Linked DNA regions of Drosophila melanogaster. The protein of the gene in region 3 interacts with the protein of the main gene of each other region in a pairwise test. Each region holds a gene or a part of one and is shown on either strand. Other genes may lie near its edges.

Region 1 (3,217 bases), on a different chromosome or scaffold from region 3:
AGATGTGTGGCATCAAATTTACGCTAAATCATTACGCAAATTTTATTTATTACTAAATATTTTATTTATTTATTTAAATAGAATATGTCAAAGAATAAACCAGAGATAATAAAACAGGACAAAAGCAGTGTCAACGTGTTTACAATTATTAAAACTTCGAGTGTGGAGATTATAAAGTTTCTTCTTAATCCTAGACGGAATTTACTCTTTGTCGAGCCGACAACGGCTAAAGTCTGTCGACATGCAGGAATGTTTGTGGAGTATTAGCTTACTATATATTGGCTAAACTGGCTTTAAACATTGTCGAATCGATAAAGAAACGCCATCAAGGGCATAATTCGGTGTGATTTGAGTTCGGGACGCAATATGTGACTGGAATGTAAAGTTCACAGAATAAATACGTAAATATTAAATAAGATTCCACAGAATCCATTTATCTATCATCTATATTGCACCATTGGTAACGCACTAGTTTTGCTTGTGCAAAGCTGCTCCGTCGGTACGTAACCCATAGGTCAGCTGGGTTTTCATCACTGCCAAACTGCTGCCAATGATCTTTTTGTGGTAGATCTGCCGCGTAACGAACCCAAAATCATCATAAAAGTCGCGCTCACTTTCCTGCCACTCGGAGATAGTGCACTCCAGTGAGGCGTACCCGCCGATAATGCAGTTCTTGACCACCAGTTTTATCATGGGGTCCATGATCGTCTGACACGGGTAATGGGGATCGATGGCAAAGCGATAGATCCATGCAGCATTGTATACGGCGTGGTGATTCTTCACACTAATAGCGGCCACAATCCTGCGCCGGAATTTCCTCGTGTATGTTTCCTCGTATGGACAGTTCTCGGTAAATATCTGGTAGCTAGCTTCCTTCGGTGAGCAGCGGAAAATGAAGGGTTCATAGCACTCGGCCACCAAAGACTGCGATGGTTTGGTCTGGAAAGTAAACGTTCTTAGTTTGAGATACTTTGCTGCCGATGCTTTAACACTTACCCTCATCAACTCCACTGCCTTGGAGTAAAACGAGAAGTAGGTGCCGGTAAATAGGCAAAATATGCAAGCGGGCACAGTGAGTGCACAAAAAAGCAGGGGCACTCCCAGAAATATGAAGAATATGGCCCACGTGATGACTATGAACTGCAGGGTGATCTGAAAAAAGTTGAAATCCAAATAGTTCATAGAGTTTGGGGATCTAGATAAAGATGTCTCACCTCTCGAAAGCAATAGACAAAAAAGGACTTATTCGAGAACGACATGATGTAGTCCCGCACCAGCTCCTGGCACTTGAGCTCATCATCTTGCGTGTAGTTGCGAATGACAATAAATGGCTGCATTAATGTGTTATTAAATTATTAGATAAGCCGAACCAAAAAAAAATAAAAACACCGATCAATCAGTGTGTCCAAAGCGATGCAAAATCCACTACTTCTTATGGCAAAACAGCTGTTGCTGCGGTGTTGCCACTCGAGACAGATATCGGCAAAGAGAACTCAAGACTGATAGCGTGAGAATAACTATCGCAAGAAGTTTATTTATTAGATATAATATTTTACAATGTTTGAAAATTAGTCTTCAACTCTTATTTTTTAAATGTACACCTGTTTGAATAACTATTTTAATTTATCGTTTGTTCCATTTATTTAAAAGAATCGCTTTCGTGAGCTTGCCGTGAGCTAGCCCAATCACGGTGCCATCTCTCATGCCAAACACTCTGACTTTGATCTGGCACTTTTTCTCATGACGTGTCGGCGAGCTTAACTTTATTAAAGAACTACTCGAAAAAGTCACTGCAAATAGCCGAAAATGCGCGACCAATTCATCAGCCTGGCCCTGATTCTGTGCGTCCTGCACAGCGCCTGCGGCTTGTACTTCCACATATCGGAGACGGAGCGCAAGTGCTTCATCGAGGAGGTTCCCGACGAGACAACTGTGATTGGTGAGCCAGAGCCTAGTGCCAACTTGGAAGTTTTACCAATCGACTAACTTGTCCTCCTGCAGTTAACTACAAGGTAGAGCTGTATGATCCGCGCTCTAATGGATTCATGCCCTCGTCGCCCGGAATCGGCATGCATGTGGAAGTACGCGACAGCGACGACAAGATTGTGCTGTCCCGCGTGTACAGCTCACAGGGCCGCATCTCGTTCACCTCGCACACTCCTGGCGAGCACGTCATCTGCATGTTCTCGAACAGCACCGCGTGGTTCAGTGGTGCCCAGCTGCGTGTTCACCTGGACATCCAGGTGGGAGAGCACGCTATCGACTACGCCCATGTGGCGCAGAAGGAGAAACTGACTGAGCTGCAGCTGCGCATCCGCCAGCTACTTGACCAGGTGGAGCAGATCACCAAGGAGCAGAACTACCAGCGATACCGCGAGGAGCGGTTCCGTCACACCAGCGAGAGCACCAACTCCCGCGTGCTCTGGTGGTCGCTGGCCCAGACCGTCGTCTTGGTTTGCATGGGCTTCTGGCAGATGCGTCATCTCAAGAGCTTCTTTGAGGCCAAGAAACTGGTGTGAGGTGCTCCGGGGCTAGGGCATCATCAGCACCACTGGCCAACCACTGGCCTCATTGTTCCGTGTGTTTCCCTCATTTGGCAGGAATTGCGAATTTCATCGATGGATCGTCATCCACCCAACCAGCCACTGGCCTCGACTCCAAGCACTTCTAGTTGTAATTTCTTGTGCGTAATTTAATAAAATCCATTGTACAAAACGAGACCGAGACTGTGTGCACCCCCACATCCTATCTTCGCTGGGTCAGACTGCCAGTCAGCTGAGCCGAGTCCCGTGACTATGTTTGCCTCACCAAGCGTGGCTTGTTCTTATCAGTAGGCTGTGACAGATAACCTGTGTCGTTGGCGTTAACTCCCTAGTTTTAAGACCGCGGTCCATCGTAACTGCATCGAGCAGCATCGTGTCGTGACTGCCCTTTATCTCATTGTTTGTTCTGTCGGAGAAGAGACTTTTTAGTAGCTCTTGGACCGCCCCGAGCAGCGGTCGTCAGTCGCGGCACAAATCCGACGTCCAAAACAATACAGCTTGTTGTGGCACACCAAACGCGAACGCTTACGACCCACAAAAGCCGCAGCTCTGTAACCCGATCCAGTCTGAAGCGCTTTCAAGTCAACAACTGGCCTAGGTCTCTGCTCCCTCTCCGGTTCAGTTGGTCTACGTCGGATTAGGCGTGCAGGCTGTTGAAAATGTTTCGCGCTACG
Region 2 (7,402 bases), on a different chromosome or scaffold from region 3:
TACTCTTTGTCGAGCCGACAACGGCTAAAGTCTGTCGACATGCAGGAATGTTTGTGGAGTATTAGCTTACTATATATTGGCTAAACTGGCTTTAAACATTGTCGAATCGATAAAGAAACGCCATCAAGGGCATAATTCGGTGTGATTTGAGTTCGGGACGCAATATGTGACTGGAATGTAAAGTTCACAGAATAAATACGTAAATATTAAATAAGATTCCACAGAATCCATTTATCTATCATCTATATTGCACCATTGGTAACGCACTAGTTTTGCTTGTGCAAAGCTGCTCCGTCGGTACGTAACCCATAGGTCAGCTGGGTTTTCATCACTGCCAAACTGCTGCCAATGATCTTTTTGTGGTAGATCTGCCGCGTAACGAACCCAAAATCATCATAAAAGTCGCGCTCACTTTCCTGCCACTCGGAGATAGTGCACTCCAGTGAGGCGTACCCGCCGATAATGCAGTTCTTGACCACCAGTTTTATCATGGGGTCCATGATCGTCTGACACGGGTAATGGGGATCGATGGCAAAGCGATAGATCCATGCAGCATTGTATACGGCGTGGTGATTCTTCACACTAATAGCGGCCACAATCCTGCGCCGGAATTTCCTCGTGTATGTTTCCTCGTATGGACAGTTCTCGGTAAATATCTGGTAGCTAGCTTCCTTCGGTGAGCAGCGGAAAATGAAGGGTTCATAGCACTCGGCCACCAAAGACTGCGATGGTTTGGTCTGGAAAGTAAACGTTCTTAGTTTGAGATACTTTGCTGCCGATGCTTTAACACTTACCCTCATCAACTCCACTGCCTTGGAGTAAAACGAGAAGTAGGTGCCGGTAAATAGGCAAAATATGCAAGCGGGCACAGTGAGTGCACAAAAAAGCAGGGGCACTCCCAGAAATATGAAGAATATGGCCCACGTGATGACTATGAACTGCAGGGTGATCTGAAAAAAGTTGAAATCCAAATAGTTCATAGAGTTTGGGGATCTAGATAAAGATGTCTCACCTCTCGAAAGCAATAGACAAAAAAGGACTTATTCGAGAACGACATGATGTAGTCCCGCACCAGCTCCTGGCACTTGAGCTCATCATCTTGCGTGTAGTTGCGAATGACAATAAATGGCTGCATTAATGTGTTATTAAATTATTAGATAAGCCGAACCAAAAAAAAATAAAAACACCGATCAATCAGTGTGTCCAAAGCGATGCAAAATCCACTACTTCTTATGGCAAAACAGCTGTTGCTGCGGTGTTGCCACTCGAGACAGATATCGGCAAAGAGAACTCAAGACTGATAGCGTGAGAATAACTATCGCAAGAAGTTTATTTATTAGATATAATATTTTACAATGTTTGAAAATTAGTCTTCAACTCTTATTTTTTAAATGTACACCTGTTTGAATAACTATTTTAATTTATCGTTTGTTCCATTTATTTAAAAGAATCGCTTTCGTGAGCTTGCCGTGAGCTAGCCCAATCACGGTGCCATCTCTCATGCCAAACACTCTGACTTTGATCTGGCACTTTTTCTCATGACGTGTCGGCGAGCTTAACTTTATTAAAGAACTACTCGAAAAAGTCACTGCAAATAGCCGAAAATGCGCGACCAATTCATCAGCCTGGCCCTGATTCTGTGCGTCCTGCACAGCGCCTGCGGCTTGTACTTCCACATATCGCAGACGGAGCGCAAGTGCTTCATCGAGGAGGTTCCCGACGAGACAACTGTGATTGGTGAGCCAGAGCCTAGTGCCAACTTGGAAGTTTTACCAATCGACTAACTTGTCCTCCTGCAGTTAACTACAAGGTAGAGCTGTATGATCCGCGCTCTAATGGATTCATGCCCTCGTCGCCCGGAATCGGCATGCATGTGGAAGTACGCGACAGCGACGACAAGATTGTGCTGTCCCGCGTGTACAGCTCACAGGGCCGCATCTCGTTCACCTCGCACACTCCTGGCGAGCACGTCATCTGCATGTTCTCGAACAGCACCGCGTGGTTCAGTGGTGCCCAGCTGCGTGTTCACCTGGACATCCAGGTGGGAGAGCACGCTATCGACTACGCCCATGTGGCGCAGAAGGAGAAACTGACTGAGCTGCAGCTGCGCATCCGCCAGCTACTTGACCAGGTGGAGCAGATCACCAAGGAGCAGAACTACCAGCGATACCGCGAGGAGCGGTTCCGTCACACCAGCGAGAGCACCAACTCCCGCGTGCTCTGGTGGTCGCTGGCCCAGACCGTCGTCTTGGTTTGCATGGGCTTCTGGCATCTATTTAACCTGTTCCACACTTGTGTGTACATTAACGAGCAGTGTTTGTGTGTGTGCTGTCTTTATATAAAGAAAATATCTGCCCTTGGCCTTATCAATGATAAGATTAATGGCTTGCCAGACCCGTGAGTCAGACTACAAACGACTTACGGCCATGTCGGGGTGTGTAGAAGAGTTGGCCTGGTTGTGACTGTCAATACAAGTGCTTACATAGGCACACAAGTGTGGGGGAAACAACGCACACACACATACAACGAATCTCGCAACATACGATATACGATAAGTTGTGATGTATATATTAATATATATATCCATTCCGAAACATCCACAAACAGACAAGACCAGACCGATATACCCTAGCACATTGGGAACGGAGCTTCGAACTGAGCTCGGTAAAACGGGGCAAGGTTGGGGCATTATCGCATCACATGCATATGACATCAGCGCAACACTGCGTATACGTAATCTGGCGATAGTACTGATTGAATGAATTTAATGTCAGGCTCTACTAACCGTAGTTCTCCCTTCGTTTTCGTCCCCTTTTCCCCGCAAACAGGTAAACAAAAAATCTACTGTGCGAAATGCACGAAGAAGTGCTCCGGCGAGGTGCTCCGCGTGGCGGACAACCACTTCCACAAGGCCTGCTTCCAGTGCTGCCAGTGCAAGAAGTCCCTGGCCACCGGCGGATTCTTCACAAAGGACAACGCCTACTATTGCATACCGGACTATCAGCGGCTGTACGGCACCAAGTGCGCAAATTGCCAGCAGTATGTGGAGGGCGAGGTGGTCAGCACCATGGGCAAGACCTATCACCAGAAGTGCTTCACCTGCTCCAAGTGCAAGCAGCCCTTCAAGTCGGGCAGTAAGGTGAGCTGAAACCCTCCACAGATCGAGTGATAAGTAACTAATCACATATTCCTCCTCACAGGTGACCAACACCGGAAAGGAGGTGCTTTGCGAGCAATGCGTCACGGGTGCTCCAGTGTCGCCCAGTCGCCAGGCGACGGGTGGAGGCGTCTCCTCGCCAGCTCCTCCGGCGGAGAGTCCGACGAGAGCCACTGCCCACCAGCAGCACGGCAGTGTGATCTCTCATAAGGCGCACCTCAAGGAGGACTACGATCCCAATGACTGTGCCGGCTGTGGGGAGCTGCTGAAGGAGGGCCAGGCACTGGTGGCGTTGGACCGGCAGTGGCATGTCTCTTGTTTCCGGTGCAAGGCCTGCCAGGCGGTGCTCAATGGGGAGTACATGGGCAAAGACGCGGTGCCCTACTGCGAGAAGTGCTACCAGAAGGGATTCGGGGTGAAGTGTGCCTACTGCAGTCGCTTCATTAGCGGCAAGGTGCTCCAGGCGGGCGACAACCACCACTTCCATCCGACCTGTGCCCGCTGCACAAAGTGCGGCGATCCCTTCGGCGACGGCGAGGAGATGTACCTGCAGGGCAGTGCCATCTGGCATCCGCGATGCGGTCCGGGTCCCTCCGAGTCCGGCATAATTTTGAACGGCGGCGGAGGCACTTCGTCGGTGGTCGGAGGTGCCTCCAATGGCAACTTCACAGACACTGAATGCGACCGGATGAGCTCCAGTGCCCTTAGCGAGATGGTAAGTAGTCGGATCTACAGATGATAAACCGCTGGTACTGAGATAATTCTCGAGACTCCAACACAACAATCCCGAGTTTAAAGAGGCTGCTGAGCTTGCAACTAATTTGAATGCTGCAAAATTCACGAAAGGCACACGCATTTAAAATCAAATTTCATACTAGAATGGGTGATATTTTAGAACTATTTTAGAACCTTATATATTATATTTATATAGGCACCCTGAAAATATCACCCATCTCAATTTACCACCCCCTTTTTGCACCTACACACAGCACTTATGATTTTATAATTTCAGTTACTTGCATTTTAGTTGTTTTGAGCTTGCGTTTTTATTTTTTCGTTCGTTTTCAGTACATCCGCTCCAGAACTCCGAGCTTTAATGGTTCACTTTATTCCTCTAGCCGCAAGGTTTGTTTTATAATTTTACTTTATGATTTCCCCTCATTTTCTGCCATCGTTTTTGAAAATACTAAAACCGAAAAGAAAAACACACGGCACTGCATGTATTTAAACTTTGAAATGAGAGCCCAGGACTAATCCCACTTAATTTGCAGCACTACCGAACGGTGAGTCCGGGTCTGATACTCCGGGAGTACGGACGACCCAATGCCGAGGACATCTCGCGCATCTACACCTACAGCTATCTGACGGATGCGCCGCACTATCTGCGCAAGCCGATCGATCCGTATGACAAGACGCCGCTGTCGCCGCACTTCCATCGGCCCTCCTCATACGCGACCACCGCCAGCAATGCGGGATCCGTGGCCGGAAGCCGCCCGCCGTCGCGTCCCCACTCGCGGACCCGCAGCGCCATGAAGGTGCTGGTGGACGCCATCCGCTCGGAGACGCCGCGTCCCAAGAGTCCTGGCATGAACAACGAGGAGCCGATTGAACTGTCTCACTATCCGGCCGCCAAGAAGCCGCCGCCAGGTGAGCAGCCCAAGATCGAGCGGGATGACTTTCCCGCTCCGCCGTATCCCTACACGGATCCGGAGCGTAGGCGGCGATACAGTGATACCTACAAGGGAGTGCCCGCCTCCGATGATGAGGACGAGAATGTGGAGAATGGCAAGCCGAATGGCAAGGTCAAGAATGGCGAGGAGCAGCAGTGAGTATTGGAATCTCTTGTGCATGCTATGATCCTAGATCCTATTAAATCTCTTCCCAAAAATACAGACGCCTTCAACGCGAAGCCGAACAGCTGGAAAAGCTTAACTCGGGCATCGGATCGGCGATTGCCAAGGACCTCAAGGAGCACGCCAAGTACAGGAAGTGGAAGCAGAACAATTTGGATCCGCGCAACGCATCCAGGACGCCCTCCGCTTCCAAGGAGCCACTCTACAAATTGAGGTAAGATATTGATCGTTATAAGAAAATTGAAAAATGATGATAATGAAAATTGATCGTTATAAGAAAATTGAAAAATGTATCTTCTAGTTCGTGCTCGGTGTATTTTGCACTTGAAGAAATCTATTATTATTTGTTTTAAAAATAGAACGATAAGATAGCAAAACATATGGTTATAGTATATAGTATAGTGTAGTAATACTAATCCTATGACATCTTGATTACACAGATACGAATCGCCCATTGGAGCATCGCCATCGCGCAATCTGGACCACCAGAAGCCCTTCTACGAGGACGAGATGTTCGATCGCTCCACCAGCTACCGTGGCTCGCTTGGCAAATCGCTTGGAAACGCGCCCAGCTACAATGGTAATCCTCTAGAGAGCATTGTCCTAGTTTCGATTTTCAGGCAAATAGCGATTCGATACCGATATTATATATTAGCCCACTTACGTTTATAGCCATACATTCCTACCGATCGCCGCCCAAGCCCGGATACGGATTCAAAACGACGACTCTGCCCTATATACGCAATGGCTTCAGCTCCGTAAGTGCTGCCTGTTGCTCAGATCGGCATAGATCGCATCAGATCCGATCCGATCCGATCAGATCAGATTATATCCTTGGTGCCGGGCTGTCGGTTATGTAGCTTATAGCTTACCCACTACCACACGAACCTATCCGCTTATATGTAATCCCAAAATAGTTACGACGGTATTTGTTTCTTGTTTCTCTCACTTTCCAATGCCGCCACTGGTTTGCTCACCTGGATGAACTAACAACTGTTTCGCATATGTCTCAACTGGTTGGTCTGCTGCTTCATTGCGTGTCTGAAAACCCAATCCCACCCATCCACCCATCCTGCGCCACTCCTAACAACTATGTGTTTGCTATTGTTGCCCTGACACCTGACAACAAATAACTCAAAAAACTAACACCCATCCACACTTGACCAACTAAAACTCGAACATTTGCATCATGAACATATCAACATCACTTGAACACCATCAACATGTACATCTACATCCACATCTGCTCAGTGGTGAGTGCGCTGCGCCATGTGCCCAAGCCAGGATACGGGCTAGCACCACGCTCCCACACATTCAGCTCCACCACATCCGCTGCGGCCACGATGCATGGTGCCACTGTAAGACCGCTTTCGTTGTTGCTATGCCGTAGAGTCCTTTGAGTCCCCGTCTTGTGTTTGGATGCCCGTTGGTATCACCTGTAACTTGCACTGGTTTTTCGTTTATTATTGTTGCATGTGTCCCTCAATTTGATCAGAAAACTAATCCCATGCCCTTTTCGAAAACAGGACTTCTCCTATGGAGGACTGGGCGACAAGACCCACAGCACAGATTTGAGCTGCGGCAAATCGGAGGGTAAGTGAAATATATTTTGAAAACCCGGCTCGGCGAAAGAATAACATAATTCTCCTCTGGCAGCTTCTGTGGACTCGATCACCGAGGGCGATAGGCGAGCTCTGATGGGCGGCGACCTGCCCGCCTCGAGCACTTACTCAGGAGCACTCTCCTACCACTATCCGCAGGCCGGACTCATCCGGCGCAGTCTGCCCAACATGTCCCATTCGATAATTAGTTGCGCTAACGCAAAATTGTAACTGAGAACAACTATATGAAAGGAACATAAAATCCCAATAAAAAACGAAGTGTATACAGACAGATGATATATGAAATTAGTTAAACATTGCATGTCCCCGGCATGTAGGCTTTTTATACGCAGTGCTATGGCAATTTAAACGCAAACATAAACTGGACTCTTTTTCCAAATTACACCTTAATTCAACCATGTAACGGGCTACAGAACCGAGAAATGCATCAAAGAATAAGAAATTAATGTACCTACAGCAGAATCACACAGCAAAATGCGAAACATTAGATGTGTGGCATCAAATTTACGCTAAATCATTACGCAAATTTTATTTATTACTAAATATTTTATTTATTTATTTAAATAGAATATGTCAAAGAATAAACCAGAGATAATAAAACAGGACAAAAGCAGTGTCAACGTGTTTACAATTATTAAAACTTCGAGTGTGGAGATTATAAAGTTTCTTCTTAATCCTAGACGGAATTTACTCTTTGTCGAGCCGACAACGGCTAAAGTCTGTCGACATGCAGGAATGTTTGTGGAGTATTAGCTTACTATATATTGGCT
Region 3 (4,996 bases):
TTAAAATTCTAAGCCATCAGCCAGCGAGCTTTGGAAATTTATTTTTCCACATTTTATTCGCCGCTTGCCGCAAAACTCTATTTTCTTCTTCGTGGGGTTAAGAGTTGGGATCCGGGCTTAGCCTCGGCAAAGTTGTAAAGTATCATTCGAGTCAATTAGTTCATTTGCAGCATTTCATTTCGGTCCGTGGGAATTTTGATGAGTTTCATTAAGTTTTGAAATAAATTTGAGCCGAAAAGTGGGTGAGTGTTACTATGACCACTGGGCTTATGGCCATTATTTTGAGCTTAATTTATGTGATTACCTTTTTTTTGCCAGCTTAAATAGATTAAAGGTATTTTAAAAACAAAAAAAAACAGTTTTAAGCATATTAAAGTTACTTAATACGATATTTTATAGAATAAATCCGTTGCCTTATTTATTTAGTGTCTGTATAAATAATGTATAATATAATGTATAAATATCATTTTTTTTCAGCTGTTCAAACATATTTATTTATTCTCATTGAGTTTTTAAATGTATATTTTGGTGCTTGTATTTATTTTCTTTACTTTATCCCATCCAGGCCAGCCCACATAGAATCCTTGGCCCAGCTTGCACAGGTATGTCCTTTTCCACACACACTTACATAGATGCGATTGTGTACATGTACACTCTCAAACAATCACATACACGATGAATTTTATTTATATTTCATAGGAACATAGGATTTCAGATAACATGAACTTTAGAGATCTAAAGTTAGGTAACTTACTTGATATTGTTAATCTGCCAGTTCTGCGAAAATGTTTTTAAACCATTTATTCTATTGTTTAGTTGTTGGTTAGGATGAATGAAAAAATGTAAACACACTTTTGTATGGTACACACAAACACGCGAAAAGGAACATGAACACAGATGAAGTTAAGTTGACTGTGGGCTTATTTGTGTTTATAGATGGGTGCCAACGTAATCACAACCATTGTTCACTATTTGGATTCATAAATCTTAAGTTTCACTCGAGTTTTAATTATTTTAAATGCGAAAACACAGAAAAATAGGCATACAAATTTACAGACGCTCGAATTTTGCTGTCAAACGGAGCAGACAATCTCTTGCTCTCTCTCTCGCCGTTCCTCTTTCCATGCGTTTCGTCCTGCGAGAGCGAGGCAGCTGTTCGAGTCCTGTAGGGAAAGGTCCTTGTTGGTGGTGAGAGGACATTCGCAACTGTCAAAATGACAGCGAAACATTCACAGAGCGCAGGCGCATGTTTCGTTTCGTTCCAAAACGTTTAAAGGAGCATATCCTGCGATTCCAGCAGGGGTTGCAATTCGCACACCCTCTCTCGCACCATGATTCTCTAGAGAAAGAGAGTGAGAGGGAGAGAGAGAGAGAGCAGACGACAATTACCTGAAGAATTGGCATTAGCCCATTTTCGTTGCGTTATAAATTGCGTTTGTCACTTTGGAGCATTCGCAGACTCGAGAGGTCCCAAACACATACGCATATCCTGGGTGTGATTTTACATTTCCACCCACTCCACCCACTTGGCAATGCCACCCCAAAAATACCCCATCTCCATGCAATTACATTTAACTTTCCTTGAGCAGTCTGCTGGGTTGGAATTAATTTTCGATTTTATTGTCAGTTAGTCAAACCCACTTGCTTAGCTGTCGCTGCGCCTGACTCTGATTTAATTGAAACTGCATGAATATGCAATTTCGGGCTATAAATTGAAATCTCGATTTCTCCGCCCACCCCGTTTTTTTTTATAGCCTTTTGGAATTTTCACTTTTAATGGCTCTCAGTTGGCTCCTTAGGAGTTTTCAACACACACACACACACTACGCACTCACATATTTGTACAAGTTATAGAACAGACTGGAGGCCAATGTGAACACACCTGAACATACACATATATAAATCCATAAAAATACTGCTAAAGAATCCGAAGGATGTGGGAAAAGCTGGTGAACTGCATCAAGAGCAATGGTGGCAATGGTGGCGTCAAGAATGTAAGCTGCCAAGTTGTCGAACTGGCGGATCTGATGAAACAGGTGCCGCCGAACCAGATGCACAAGTTCAAAATGTTTGCCAAGAAGCACGAGGAGTACAAGGAGTAAGATGGGGTCACCAAAAACAGGGAATTGGGGTCACCTGGGGGAGCATGAATTAAGTCTACCTTAGAAGGGCAGGGTCTTTACTAATTATTTAGGTTACAGCTTATGTTGCTTTATATGAGAATTATTTCCCATTGTAGAGAATAATATAAATATATTTTATAGCCGCGTTCGTAAGTATCCGGAATCGATGCCGACAATCGACTGGGAATACTACCGTCAGAATGTGAGAGAAGAGTTTGTCGATTGGGTGAAGGGATACGAGACCAAGTATGATAAATTGCATTCCGTATTCGAGAATCGACATGCCATAGTAGATCACAAGCGATACTTTGAACTCGTCGATGAAGAAAAGAAGGTGGTGACAAAATGTATTAGCGAATACAAGGCGGAGTCGGATAAAAGAATCCAGGAGCTAACCGAAAAGTTGGAGTTCGTGAAGGCAATGCGACCCTATTCCGAAATGACCATGGAGGAATTTTGTTTTGCCCGTCCGCACTTGGCACCCGATTTCATCAACAAGCCCACTTTCTGGCCACACACTCCTGAAGAGCAAATGCCAGGTCCATCGGATCCAGAGGCAGCAGCTGCTTTGCATCACGAAGAGGAGCCCGAACCGCCAAAGAAACCAGCTCCCGAAAAGTTACCAGATAAGCCTAGTGGAGAAGGAAAGCCTCCGGCGGCTGCGGCTCCAAAGGAGCCAAAAGAACCCGTTGTCGACACCTCTCAGTTGGCCGAAAAGGCCACTTTAATCGCCAAAGATTTGATGGCCAAAGCTATTGTTCTTTTTAATAGTCTTAAAGAAAAGATGTCGGGTCTGGCCAAGAATGTTCAGAAAAAGGCAGACGCCGCCAAAGCTGCGCGTTCCGAAACTGCCAGCAAATCCGCAACGCCTACAGCCGCACCAACCAAGTCACTGGACAGCATTACGGAACGAGAGTCTGGACCGAACATCTGCAACCAAACTATAATACGCAGCGAGGAGGCAGAGGCCAATCCGGAGGTTAAGGCCAGGCATACTAACCTTTCCATTGAGGCGGATCCTTGCGATGCCCAGGAGGAGCGAGCCAGGGAGATAGCTAGGACATTGGAGCGCAAGAGACAATTAAAAGAGGCGGAGGAATGGGAGAAACACAAGACCAAGAAAGATCCTTGTGACGCCGAAAAGGAAACTGATCCTTGCAAGCTCATGGAAGAGGAAACCGTTTGCAAGCCAGATCCTTGCAAAGCGAAAGAGGAAGAAGCAGTCTGTAAGCCAGATCCCTGCCAGCAGAAGGAGAAAGAAGATGACATTTGCAAGCCCGATCCTTGTAAGCCGAAGGACGAAGAGGGCTCCTGTGAAGATGAGGAGGATCCTTGCAAGAAGAAGCCGAAATGCGATGGTGATTACCAATTCGGTGGTGACAATGAAGGCGGTTCGACAAAATCGAAGCAGCAGGACCAGGTCTTCATCAACATATCCGAGTGCAGTAAGGAACTCGCCAAGCAGGAAGAAAAGAAATCTGGTGATTCGGGTAAGCCCAAGGAAAAGGCATCACTGTCAGAAATTCCACAAGGATCAGATCAAAAACCCGTGCTTGGCATGCAGATAACAGAATCCAAGGACTCTAAAAAGGATCACAAAGCTAGTATTGAAGGCGCAAATGAAATTGGTCCTGTGTATACAGATCCCAATCAACTTGCAGAGCTGCTAGTCCAGAAAAAGGAAAAACCAGTTATAATTGAAGAAGCACAGAAGCCCGAAGATGACAAACCAATTACCATATATCCCAAGCTAGAGATATCAGCCAATCCGAAGGGCGATCAAGTCAAGCAAGAAGCTGAAGGACAAAAGTCACCCAAGGATATGGCCAAGCAGGTGTTCACAATGGCCTCAGGAGCTGCTACTCTACTAACAGAAGCCACCAACACACTGGAGGACTTGAAGAGGAAGAAGGAGGCTCGTCTGGAGGCACTGGAACAGGCCTACACTTCGGCCCAAAGGCAGGCCCAAGGAGCTCTGGCCGAGGCATCGAAGGCCGTGGAAGCCGCCAACAATTTGGCCATAAGATCTGCCGAACAAACTGGCGAAGTGAGCAGCCGAGATCGCGAGGCATTGGAAATGGCCGAAAAGCATGCCATTTTGGCCAAAATGCTGGCCGGACGTGCAGTGGCCTTGAAGGACGAAATCGCTCGAGTTCTCAAGGATCTTAAGAAGAAAAAGTAATCAGCACAAACACTATTTCGTAATAATTTTCTACCAATTTGTGTTAGTTGTTTTTCGTATTAAATTTTATGTTACATTTGTTTACCGTTCAAAGTTTCGCTTTCATTTGATTTCGAATCTCGTTACGTTTGTTTTCATGCAAATTTTTTTCCAGGCCAGCTTTGCTGACCAAAAAGTTGGTTGGTGGGCATGGGCAATAAATTTATTCTTTTCCACTAGCTTCGCTTTGCTGTTACGGCTAAAAAGTTTTCTATTTGGATTTTGCAAGCGAAATGAGTGTGAGGCGTTTGTAGATTGCATAATTATGCTAATTTTGTTGTTTATCCACCCGCCAAGTGTAAAGGGGTATAGTGTGCGGATATGAAAAGGTGAGTTTACAGAATTATCAAACCTGTTTTTACATCTCTGTATGTGTTTACTAAAAAGTGCATTTGTATTGATTGTTTTACAATAATTGAAGGTGAGTTTATCCTACCTTATCACAATCTTACCTGTAAAAAAAGCAGGGTATAACCAAGTCAAACTAGTCCACTTTTTAGTTTCTCCATTTTGTTTGGCATTTCAAAGCAGCCGTTCGAAAAGTGTTGCCTACATTTTGGCGCAGGGTTTTCGCAATCAAACACATTTGCATAATTAGCTGGTCCTGCTTGTGTAAGTGTGTGGGTGTGTGTGTGTTTGTGTGTGTGTTACT

The links. Proteins that work in one complex are often made in the same cells at the same time.
Region 1: the proteins of knon (region 3) and eca interact in a two-hybrid assay, tested with the Drosophila melanogaster proteins (one large-scale study listed by BioGRID).
Region 2: the proteins of knon (region 3) and p24-2 interact in a two-hybrid assay, tested with the Drosophila melanogaster proteins (one large-scale study listed by BioGRID).

What each region holds. Positions count from the first base shown.
Region 1 is NT_033777.3:9,683,969-9,687,185, reverse strand, and holds eca (eclair), read left to right. Parts: upstream 1-1,709; 5' UTR 1,710-1,806; coding exon 1,807-1,939; intron 1,940-2,001; coding exon 2,002-2,519; 3' UTR 2,520-2,717; downstream 2,718-3,217. Other genes in the region: CG18542 (uncharacterized protein), read right to left, coding at 469-939, 997-1,152, 1,215-1,337; CG9444 (uncharacterized protein), read left to right, coding at 3,203-3,217. UniProt on the Drosophila melanogaster protein: Eca and bai are essential, though not redundant, for dorsoventral patterning of the embryo. Specifically required during early embryogenesis for the activity of maternal tkv, while the zygotic tkv is not affected. Involved in Golgi organization.
Region 2 is NT_033777.3:9,686,902-9,694,303, reverse strand, and holds p24-2 (p24-related-2), read left to right. Parts: upstream 1-1,528; 5' UTR 1,529-1,604; coding exon 1,605-1,737; intron 1,738-1,799; coding exon 1,800-2,401; 3' UTR 2,402-2,561; coding exon of another isoform or gene 2,562-2,679; 3' UTR 2,680-2,758; coding exon of another isoform or gene 2,759-3,139; intron 3,140-3,200; coding exon of another isoform or gene 3,201-3,872; intron 3,873-4,225; coding exon of another isoform or gene 4,226-4,282; intron 4,283-4,428; coding exon of another isoform or gene 4,429-4,982; intron 4,983-5,050; coding exon of another isoform or gene 5,051-5,224; intron 5,225-5,450; coding exon of another isoform or gene 5,451-5,590; intron 5,591-5,682; coding exon of another isoform or gene 5,683-5,768; intron 5,769-6,261; coding exon of another isoform or gene 6,262-6,368; intron 6,369-6,536; coding exon of another isoform or gene 6,537-6,603; intron 6,604-6,666; coding exon of another isoform or gene 6,667-6,842; 3' UTR 6,843-6,902; downstream 6,903-7,402. Other genes in the region: CG32939 (uncharacterized protein), read right to left, coding at 267-737, 795-950, 1,013-1,135; Unc-115b (uncoordinated 115b), read left to right, coding at 2,562-2,679, 2,829-3,139, 3,201-3,872, 4,226-4,282, 4,429-4,982, 5,051-5,224, 5,451-5,590, 5,683-5,768 and 2 more.
Region 3 is NT_033778.4:16,496,288-16,501,283, reverse strand, and holds knon (knotted onions), read left to right. Parts: upstream 1-1,854; 5' UTR 1,855-1,934; coding exon 1,935-2,098; intron 2,099-2,264; coding exon 2,265-4,305; 3' UTR 4,306-4,395; downstream 4,396-4,996.